Regions from separate parts of the Mus musculus genome. Here regions 1 and 3 are each reported to be linked to region 2. The links are microRNA targets in miRTarBase. Many come from high-throughput screens and were not tested one by one. Region 2 holds a microRNA gene; each other region holds the end of a gene's coding sequence.
The links. The annotated mature microRNA mmu-miR-30a-5p reads UGUAAACAUCCUCGACUGGAAG and lies in region 2 at 2,340-2,361, opposite strand. An mRNA with a match to its seed (bases 2 to 7 or 8) in the 3' UTR can be bound and repressed. Matches are read on the target gene's strand: a 7mer-m8 pairs with bases 2 to 8, a 7mer-A1 pairs with bases 2 to 7 and ends in A, and an 8mer does both.

Region 1 (3,348 bases), not on the chromosome of region 2:
CCTCTCCAGGCTGCCTCTCAAGCTTTGTCCCAGACAAAGTAAATCAAAGTAAATTCAAGGCTGGTAATAGGAAGTCCAGTCGCAGCTCCCCTGCCTGAGGCAGTGACTACAACCCGGGCTATGGAGGTATGGTGGGTGACCTAGAGCCTGCTGCGTACCTCTGTGCCTCAGTTTCCCCACCTCTAATAGGACTGCAGAAGGGACAGATGACAGGTCAATCAGAAGTGTTCAGTGCCTGCCAGGTGGGAAGGACTTTGTTTCAGTGAGCCCCGCCTGGAGTTTGGAGACTCAGCAGTCTGGTGGTGTTCAGGGCTGCACAGCAGGAAGCCCAGAGACCCGCATCCAGTGCAGGTCTGGCTGTGCTTGGGCTGACCGGGCCCTGTCCAGGCCTTCCTAACCCTGCTGGTATCTCTCCCCAGGTGAGAAGCCATTCTCCTGCTCCCACTGCAACCGTGCTTTTGCTGACCGCTCCAACCTGCGTGCCCACCTCCAAACCCACTCGGATGTGAAGAGATACCAGTGCCAGGCCTGTGCCCGAACCTTCTCCCGCATGTCCTTGCTCCACAAGCACCAAGAGTCTGGCTGCTCCGGAGGCCCTCGCTGACCCTGCTACCTCCCCATCCTCGCTGGCATCTTCCCGGAGCTCACCCTCCTCCTCACTGCCAGGACTCCTTCCAGCCTTGGTCCGGGGACCTGTGGCGTCCATGTCTGGACCTGGTTCCTGCTTGGCTCTCTTGGTGGCCTTTGCCGCAGGTGGCTGATGGAGTGCCTTTGTACCCGCCCAGAGCCTCCTACCCCTCAGTATTCATGAGGTGTAGCCTCTGGACACAGCTGCTTCGAGCCATAGAACTAAAGCCAACCCACTGGCTGGGAAGCTTGAACCCCGCTCAGGGGACCCCACTTCCCTACCTCCCTCAAGGACCCTTCAGGCCACCTTCTTTGAGGTACAACAGACTATGCAATAGTTCCCCTCCCCCCCACCCCGTCCAGCTGTAACCATGCCTCAGCAGGGTGGTTACTGGACACATGTCCAGGTGCCCCTGGGCCTGGGCAACTGTTTCAGCCCCCGCCCCCATTTGTCCTGGTGACACCTGTTTCACAGCAGTTTAACTGTCTCAGAAGGGACCATGAATAATGGCCATCACTTGTTAGGGGCCAAGTGGGGTGCTTCAGCCTGGCCAATGTGTCTCCCAGAACTATTTTGGGGCCCAACAGGTGGCCCCGGGAGAAAGATGTTTACATTTTAAAGGTATTTATATTGTAAGCAGCATTTTGTATAGTTAATATGTACAGTTTATTGATATTCAATAAAATGGTTAATTTATATACTAAAAAGTGCTCAGTGTTGGGGTGGGGGCACCATAAAGGGACTTCCAGGAGGGAGGGGCAGGGCCTTAAGTCTTGTGCTTTGGAGTTCTAACTAGTCGTGAACTTTGGGGCCTGGGCTGCCTGGCCTGGTATCTGTCCCACTCTGGTACAGTGCAAGCTTCCTGAACTCTTAGTTCTTCGGGCTCTCTTGGGAAGGTGCTTTGTGGGGCTTAGCCACAGCCTGGCCAGGAGCTCTGGCTCCACCATAGCAGGTCTTTGGGGCAGAGCTAGCTGCCCCTCCCAGCTGAAGGGAGGATGTCTTTCCTGTTCCCAAGCGCCTCCCTGTCAGGCAGGCCCACACCTCTGTCTGGCTGCTGGGTACCAAATGGTCTTTGATGCAAGGAAATGGGCTGGCTGGAGCCAGGAGGGTGAGAAGCCAGGCCAAAGGGTAGGGGTCATACAGCTTCCTGCTTGGAGGACCAGGGCTGGAGCAATTTACCTCAGGCTAGTTGGTGCTGGTGACCTCAACTCTGAGGGCCTCCTGGGGCTCGAGAGAAAATGAGTGTCCTTTCTAAGCACAAAAGGTGATGAAGGTGCCAGTTTCCTGTGGGGAGCTGAGCAGGCGTCGGCTGGGAGCTTCAGCCAGCCCAGCTCCAACCCGGCTGGGGGGTGGGGAGCTTCCAGCTCCAAAGGAGAGATGAGTCTTCTAAACAGGAAATGGTGACCCGCAGGCGGGAACAGCCTAATGACTTACAGCTTTCCTCCCAAAAGGAAAAAAAAAAGTCTCTAACAATCGCCAAATTGTGGCAGGCCTCCCTGAAGGGGAGGTTGGTGAGGTGGTATTGGGGGCTGGGCATCAACGAGCTGAAGGCCTACTGTGTCCCCAGGAGGTTCCTCCACATAGGTTGAACAGTGAGTGACTTCACCCCGGGCCTGGAGGGATGGGATGGGCCTCCAGGACCAGACTCAGCGCTGAGGGCCTGGCCCCAGGTCTAGTGCCTAGGACTTGGTCAGCCTGGTTCTGAGCGTGCTGGGAGTCAGGTAGGCCTGGCTCCTGGCCCTGACTCTCACCTCTCGCTGCCAGAAGCAAGCAAGAGTCTCTCTGCTCTCGGCCCCAGTTTCTGCCTCTAGAAATCCGAGGCAACAGTGCCTGTCTCTGGAGAGGCTGTGAGGAAACATTCCTTCAGTCATTCAGTGGGTACTGTGAGCCGGGGTGTGCCAGTCCCTGTGAAGAGTCACTGTGCTCAGGAACTCTGTTCTAGTCGGGGAGACAGAAAACAAACAAGCAATTAAACACACTGCTCGCCTGCAGCAGTGCCAGGATGGAATGAGAGGCCGGGAAGACTTGAGAGCAGCAGGCAGGGTTCCCACCAAGGCATCCAGAGCCCTCGGGAGGGTTGACATTCCAGAGAGGGAGGAGGAGGATGGGAAGGATGGAGGTGGAGGAAGAGGGATGGGAGAATCCTGGGGGAGGGGAAGTAGGCTGTGGGGCTGGGAGAAGCTGTCCTGAGAAAGACCATGTGGCTGGGGGCACTAGAAAGCCAGGAGGAGAGGGAGATCAGGGCCTCTCTGGAACCTCAGCCCAGAATGCAGCCAAGGGGCTTAGAGACAGCAGCTGGGACCAAGGTCCCATAGGCCGCCTGGCAGGGCAGAGACTAGAGCTAGGAGAAGGAATGGAGGTGGCATAGCAGGTGACAAAGGGCTCGGGCCAGGGCTATGGTGGCTGGGTAGTTTACTGCCCACCCAGCCTGGGGCCTTCCTCGCTTCCTTGGGACTGGTCCTGGACCCCAGTAAATGGGAGAGAGGACACAGCTGTCCCAGAAGGAACCTCTCTAAGCCTGGGGCCGAGTAGACAGACAGACAGCCTTCTGTGGGAAGAACTGGGGTGGGGACTGCAAAGGGTTATTCACAGAAATGTGCAGCTTTTGACAACGTGAGGAGAAAAGGCTGTCTCTAGGAGAAGGCAGGCAGCCAAACTAGCCAAGGAGAAGTGAGAGAATCAAGGGTGGAGGCGGGAGGGGAGGCCTTCTTTGAGTTTTA
Region 2 (3,348 bases):
TACTTATTTCTTGATGGTAACATTTAGGTAATACCTTCGCAAAAGAAAACAACACAATCTACTATCAAAGCAGGCAGAGATGGTGTCCACAGGTCTAGATAAGAAATCTGTTTGCTAGCCATCACAACCCTCACAGCTTGCAGCTGTCTTCTCAGAGAGCAAAGGACTTACACATGTATGCTATTTATGACGACATCACCATAAACTTAAGTTCAGGTTCAAGCTAGAGTTCTAAGGTCAGGAAAAATGTATCATTTAAATCAATCACCAATGCCACTTTCAGATCTTATATACCTCCTTCAGAAATCTCCTTTCAAAGGCTGTCGCAATTTCTATTTTGGACAATTACAAATAAAAAACTATATTTACACTACTTAAGGCTATTTAGGTATGCTGCTCACTTTTAAAACATTACTGGTTTTGAAGAAATGAACACTTAGGTTTATTTCTCCAGCACCGAGGACGTGTTTTATTTTCAGTAACTGACCTGCTGCAGGCCACTTGAAAACTCTGGGCATGTACTTAGTTTAAGAACCATTGCCGAGCAAGCACAGGGCCCAACATGAAAGGAAAAGGGGGAGCAAGAAGAGGAACAGTTTTATGTTGTAGTTCATGTAAGGTGCTTTATTGTGCAGATATGGATGTGATTTTAAATTAAAGAAAATACATGTAAAAATAATGAGTAATAGTTGATTTATATAAAATGATACTCAATCTTAAGTACACAATACTTTGACAATATAATTTTATAATGTAATACTGCTGTTTTACACTGAAGTTTATTTTTAATAAAATGGGGGTAAAAAATCCAGATCGTATTTCAGCTATAAATAGCACATTATTGTTATTGTAAAACAGTATTTTAGATTATTACTGTGGAATTGAGGAGCACAAGACATAACAGGTATTAATTTCAAAACTAACCAAAATAATTAATAGAGGTTTACATCTAAGAATGAAGCAAATTTTACAAGTTAAAAAAATTCCAGTAAGTATGTAAAAGAAATAACCAAAGAGTAGTTAGTGGACAGTGGAAAATTTAGAAGTCAACAAACCAAGGAAAGAAGTGTGAGACAACATAGGGGTAAATATAAAGGAAGTGAAGGTCAAATAATTTCTTCAAACTTATAGCCGTTCCCTGGGAAATACTGCTAGTTTCCCTGGGACACAGCTGGGTTACTTACACTAAATGTTTTCAGTTTACCTATTAAAGCAATGTTGCTCAGTTCCAGACCCTGGGGCTTCAGTGTTAGTCAACCAACTCCTCATGCCTGGCATGACTAATTGAGTTTTCTCACTTGGTGTCTTTATGTATGAGAAAAACTGACTTCTAGTCACCTATCTTTCCAGCCATCAGCATGGCCAGCACATATGGAATGGAATACTCTTTCAGTATGAACTCCTGTTAGTAAGACTAATGATATTAACTGGGAGAATAGAAGCTGTCATTTCTACAGTAATGAAACTGCTGTTTCAAAGAGTGTGCTTTACAAGGTAAAGATGCTGTCTATTTCTCTTTTTAAGGTGTCTCATTCCTATAATTTAAATGAACATTCACATTAAGCCATAAGAAAAATACAGACTAACAAAAAAGGCAAATTAGAAACTATGTCTTTCAGGGATCTGTGCTAGGCTTCCCATTCTGAAATTGTCTTCATAAAGAATAGAATTTGGTGTACTATTTTAAAGGGAGATGAGTTACTTTATCAGTTTAGTTAAAAGGAAAATCTCAATCAAGACTTTATAGTAGATCAAGCAAAAGAAAGCAAATATACTTTTCAAGTTACCTGAGGCAATGTTTTAGATACTATATTAAGGTGAAAATCATTACTTCATGAAATACTAAACCAAGAAGGGGTAGGTGGTTTAATTCAAGCACTATGAAACATGAATTAATGCTCTACTTTGGATTTTACTTCCTCTCTTTTCAAATAATTTAGTTACATTAACACGATGTTTTTGGTGTGTGTGAATTGACCTAAAAAAAAAAAAACCTACTCTGAGATTTGATAAATAAAAGTAGATTAAAGAGCCTACTTTTTAAAATAATTTTTGAAGCACTGTCTTATTTGTTTAAAAAAAATACATAATATATTTCTTTGCTTAGCTTAAAAATACTGTTATATTTTTTGAGTACATATATTGCATATTCTATGCACAGGAAGAACACTTCTGTGGTTTTGAAGTTGTTTAATTTATCTTTTCCACCCAAGCTTTGTAAAAATAAATCAAAGAGAAAGCAAGGTATTGGTTTCAGCCAACAAGATAATTACTCCTTGAAGTTGGAGGCAGTAGGCAGCTGCAAACATCCGACTGAAAGCCCATTTGTGGCTTCACAGCTTCCAGTCGAGGATGTTTACAGTCGCTCACTGTCAACGTTGATATGCCTTCTTCAGCATTCTGTCTTACTGACCTGAGAAGTGCTCTGCGGGAGTTTCTGAAATGTACAGGCAACATTCTGTAAACTGCAAAGCCTCGATGCCCTAGAAATATAACTAAAGTTTATGTAAGATATAGTTTATATGTTTCAGAAACATTTATTATTCATCTACTAAGTGTCAAACACATTTATGAAAACACGAATAAATAGCTTTCACCCATTACTGTTGGCCATAAGAAACAATCATGCAAGTGACTTACTAGGACTAGAACATGAGTAAGTTTATCGAAATCCTTTGAGAAAATTTAACAAGGAAAATGCTTCTATTATGTACAGAGCATTCAACATAAACACCAAAGTAGGGAAGCTTAAAACTATCAAATAAGAACAGGAAACAGACAGAACCAAGACTTACGTGCTGCTTTTACAGATCACCTTTGTTCTGAAATCTGCTTCCACAGAGGCTCTGTACAGTCAGCTGATGTTCCAAAGAGTAAGCAACAATCAGGAGGAAAGCAGAAAAGAGCAAGGAGGTGCAGGTTTGCATGCATCTCTGCGGATCAGAGTTTCCCACTGGAAAAACACAGAACCTATCGCTGGCAGCAGGGGCTGGCAGCAGTGACGCACATTAACTCCACATCTGAATGTTCTGAATTCCACTCCCATTCTCTAATGAAAATAAATGAGGAAAACGGAAGGTTAAGCTCTATCAGTCACTACTTTTCCTGAAGTAATTCAAAACCCTTCTGAGTCTAGTGAAAGATTAAGCTGGTACAGAGAAGTGGGTGTGCCTTCCCCTGAGATTTGGTTTTAGATGAAGTTACCACAATTTTAGTTGCCAACGCCTTAGGGATTTTATGATTAAAAAAAAAAATCCCCACAGAGAGCTTCATGTTTGTGGAAACTAACAAATGTGATGAGCTCCATAAATTTCTTTTTCAAAGCAAGGGACAGTTCTATCCCGTTAT
Region 3 (3,000 bases), not on the chromosome of region 2:
AGTCACTCTAGAGGGACAGATGTATCCTGGCAAAGGAGGAGGAAGCAAGGAGAAAAATAAAACAAAGCCAGAGAAGGCTAAAAAGAAGGAGGGAGATCCCAAACCACGTGCTTCCAAGGAAGACAATCGAGCTGGGAGCAGAAGAGAAGACCTTTAGCAGGTGGCAAGCTTCCCGCCAGGTAGGCAGGACCAGATAGCCCCTCGCAGACTGGTGGGGCAGGTGGTGCAGGAAACTGCATAGCAGATGACATTCTCATGTCCTCTAGAAATGGTCTGTGTATGACCATCTGGTCAATATCACAGTTACCGTATAAAAGGCTTCCCATGTGAAGGCAGGATTTGTGATTGGTAGTGGACTGGCAAGTCATGTCTACTGTGGCTTCACCTGACTTTGGAAACTTGATGTTTTGTACCTTTTATTTCTCTTGAGTCCATGACACCCCCAGAGTACCACTCCCTCCTCAGTGCACCTGCTGTGGTCCCATGGCCTGTTGTATCTGTGTATTACAAGCTCAAGTCAGACAAGCCTTGAGAAGCTTCAACTTGACTGAAGCGCGGGTATTGATTGTTCAGTGAGTGAAGATAACTGTGCCGTATGGGCAGTGCTGTGTTCAGTGAGTGAAGATAACTGTGCCGTATGAGCAGTGCTGTGTTCAGTGAGTGAAGATAACTGTGTCGTATGAGCAGTGCTGTGTTCAGTGAGTGAAGATAACTGTGCCGTATGAGCAGTGCTGTGCGCCCAGGATCTGGACAGCAAACTCGTTATGCAGAGTGGGCAGATTCACGACAGTGCCGTCCAGAACTTCTCATCGGTTCTGGGGAATCTTTGTCTCCCCGTCTCCTGGAGTTGAAGAGGGAATGCGCTTGTTCATCGTGTGAGGAAAGAAGGATGCTTCCACTGAGGGCCCACGTTCTGCATAGCCCAACAACTATAAAGTTGGCGAGGAGGGACCAGCAGAGTCTTGCATAGGAGTGGACCTCATCTACAGTATTTCTAAGCGGTTTCCTTTGATGAAGTGCCTAAACTTGTGCTTTTGTATGGTACTCTCATGATGTGCTGCTGTTCACATCTGTTTCTGCTGTTCATAGGTTGAAGCTTCGCTAAAAGAACATTTCTATGAGGATGCCATTTTTAAGAACTCACATTCTTTTAAAACCTCAGTTGTGGTTTGAAATTCGAAATAGTACATGTACACGTACCCGGCTAGAAATTGTCACTGTTAAGAGTGTCACAGTGTGAAGAATTGCCCTACCCTGCTGCCAGTACTTTGTCCCAGTGAAGCTACTGTTGGTCATTGGTTTTTCAAAAATAAAGTACAATTACCAGCTTCCAGTGATAGGTATATTCTGTCCTCCAGTGATGGGTATATTCTGTCCTCCAGTTGGTTTCCGTTCATGTTTCTCTTACCAAGCCACACCTCCCTCCCCAGCTCAGGGCGTCCTGGACACAACCTGCTGAGCCTCTTCAAAAAGAAGCTTTTTTTGGTCCTCGCACCTTGTGACTTGTGATGATCTGCTGCTGTCCTGTTTGAGGGTGCTGCCAATCTAGGAGAAGCTGGGACAGGGCACTCATCCTTTTGGTATCTGTGGGCCCAGCAAATCTGAAACAAGCCCCGTTCCTGGGGTTTTTCTGTTTTCACATGGGGCAGTTGATTGGCTACTGTCATGTCTAGCCATGATGCTCTTTTCTCAGGGCTGCCGTTTCCTTCTGGAAGCCTTCATGATGCTGACACGGGACTGTCATGGCTTTGAGTGTGGTGTGCAGCCTCTTCACCAGGTTCATGCATCACCTGTGATGTAGTTGTCACTGGTGGGTTCTGAGGACAGTGCAGGCATGGCAGGAATGACTGACTGTGAGGAGAAAGGAAGAAATGCATAATGCAGTGAACTGAATGGGCAGAGCTTTGTTGGGAGGTCAAGGGAGTTCCCTTTGCAAAGGCCCTGAGGCTAGAAGTAGTAGACAAGGGTGCTCTTGGAGGCCCCTGAGGAGTCTGGACTGGGGAGTGAGGACTCTAGGAGGCTGTTGGAATTTTGAGTGCCTCAGGGATTTTGCGTAGTACTGACAGGAGAGCTTCTCCGGACTCAGGCCTTTAGTCAGTCTCTCGGGTTTACAGGCAGAGAGGCTTGAAGCAGCCTTCGGTTCATGCTTTCTGCTGTTTCTGATTTCTGGCTGTGTATTCTGAGCTGGGATAAACAGATTCTCCTCTCCAAACACTTATTTGCTACTAGAAACGAAATTGGCACATTAAGCCTCCTTTTATTACAGTTCAAGAATTTGAACTCCAGATTGATCGATTTACCCTCCCTGATTTTTGACAGTCCCTAAACTGCCTCGTGTTGTCACATTTCTTCAAATTCTTGGGTTCGAGTTTCTAAAGCACAAGAAGCCAGGAGGCCCTACTGCTGCTTTTTATGAGTCAAATCAAGTAGAATGAAAGTCTATTAAAGTCACTTGTACCCAGACTACAGATTCCTTATAGTGGTACTAAGGAGGAAAAGCAGGTATGGTGTTGAATGCCTGTAATCCCAGTGTTTGGGAGGGAGAGATGGGAGGATCAGCCAGGCCAGGTTACTTAGTTGCAGGATAGCCTCAGCTACGTCTGAAACTCACGCTCCCCATGCTCCCCCCCCCCCAAAATAACCCCCAAAACAAAAAGGACTAAATGCAAAAGAAACTAGTCACAATTCTTGGTGTATGGCCTTTTCTTCAGAGGAGCCCTCTTAGCCTCCTCCATAAAATTACCAGCAGGGAAGGCTAACACTGCCATCATTGCACTGTAGTCTCCTGTTCTCAGGAGGACGGCCCCTGTTACAGCAACTGCAGGGGCATCTGGACAGCACAACTGCTTCAGTCCAGTGTCCCCTGGGACCACTGGCTTCTAGCTCTCTTTCAAGTGAGGACAGTCTGCTCCTTGGCCAGCCATCTGTCCATGGGGAAGCTACCTCAGGGCTCCTGGGAGCTCCACCACTGGAAATCGTTTCTGAGCAGACCTCATGCAA

Region 1: miRTarBase lists Snai1 as a target of mmu-miR-30a-5p. Seed matches in the 3' UTR shown: 8mer at 1,234-1,241.
Region 3: miRTarBase lists Mesd as a target of mmu-miR-30a-5p. Seed matches in the 3' UTR shown: 7mer-A1 at 2,107-2,113.

What each region holds. Positions count from the first base shown.
Region 1 is chr2:167,541,480-167,544,827 of GRCm38, forward strand. It overlaps Snai1 (snail family zinc finger 1), which reads left to right. Exons shown (of 3, transcript NM_011427.3): 3 at 420-1,335. The coding sequence ends at 604. Among named protein-coding and RNA genes, the nearest start is that of Snai1, 5.0 kb to the left of the region's middle.
Region 2 is chr1:23,271,287-23,274,634 of GRCm38, reverse strand. It overlaps Mir30a (microRNA 30a), which reads right to left and starts at 2,366; the gene lies at 2,296-2,366.
Region 3 is chr7:83,897,849-83,900,848 of GRCm38, forward strand. It overlaps Mesd (mesoderm development LRP chaperone), which reads left to right. Exons shown (of 3, transcript NM_023403.4): 3 at 1-2,463. The coding sequence ends at 157. Among named protein-coding and RNA genes, the nearest start is that of Mesd, 7.1 kb to the left of the region's middle.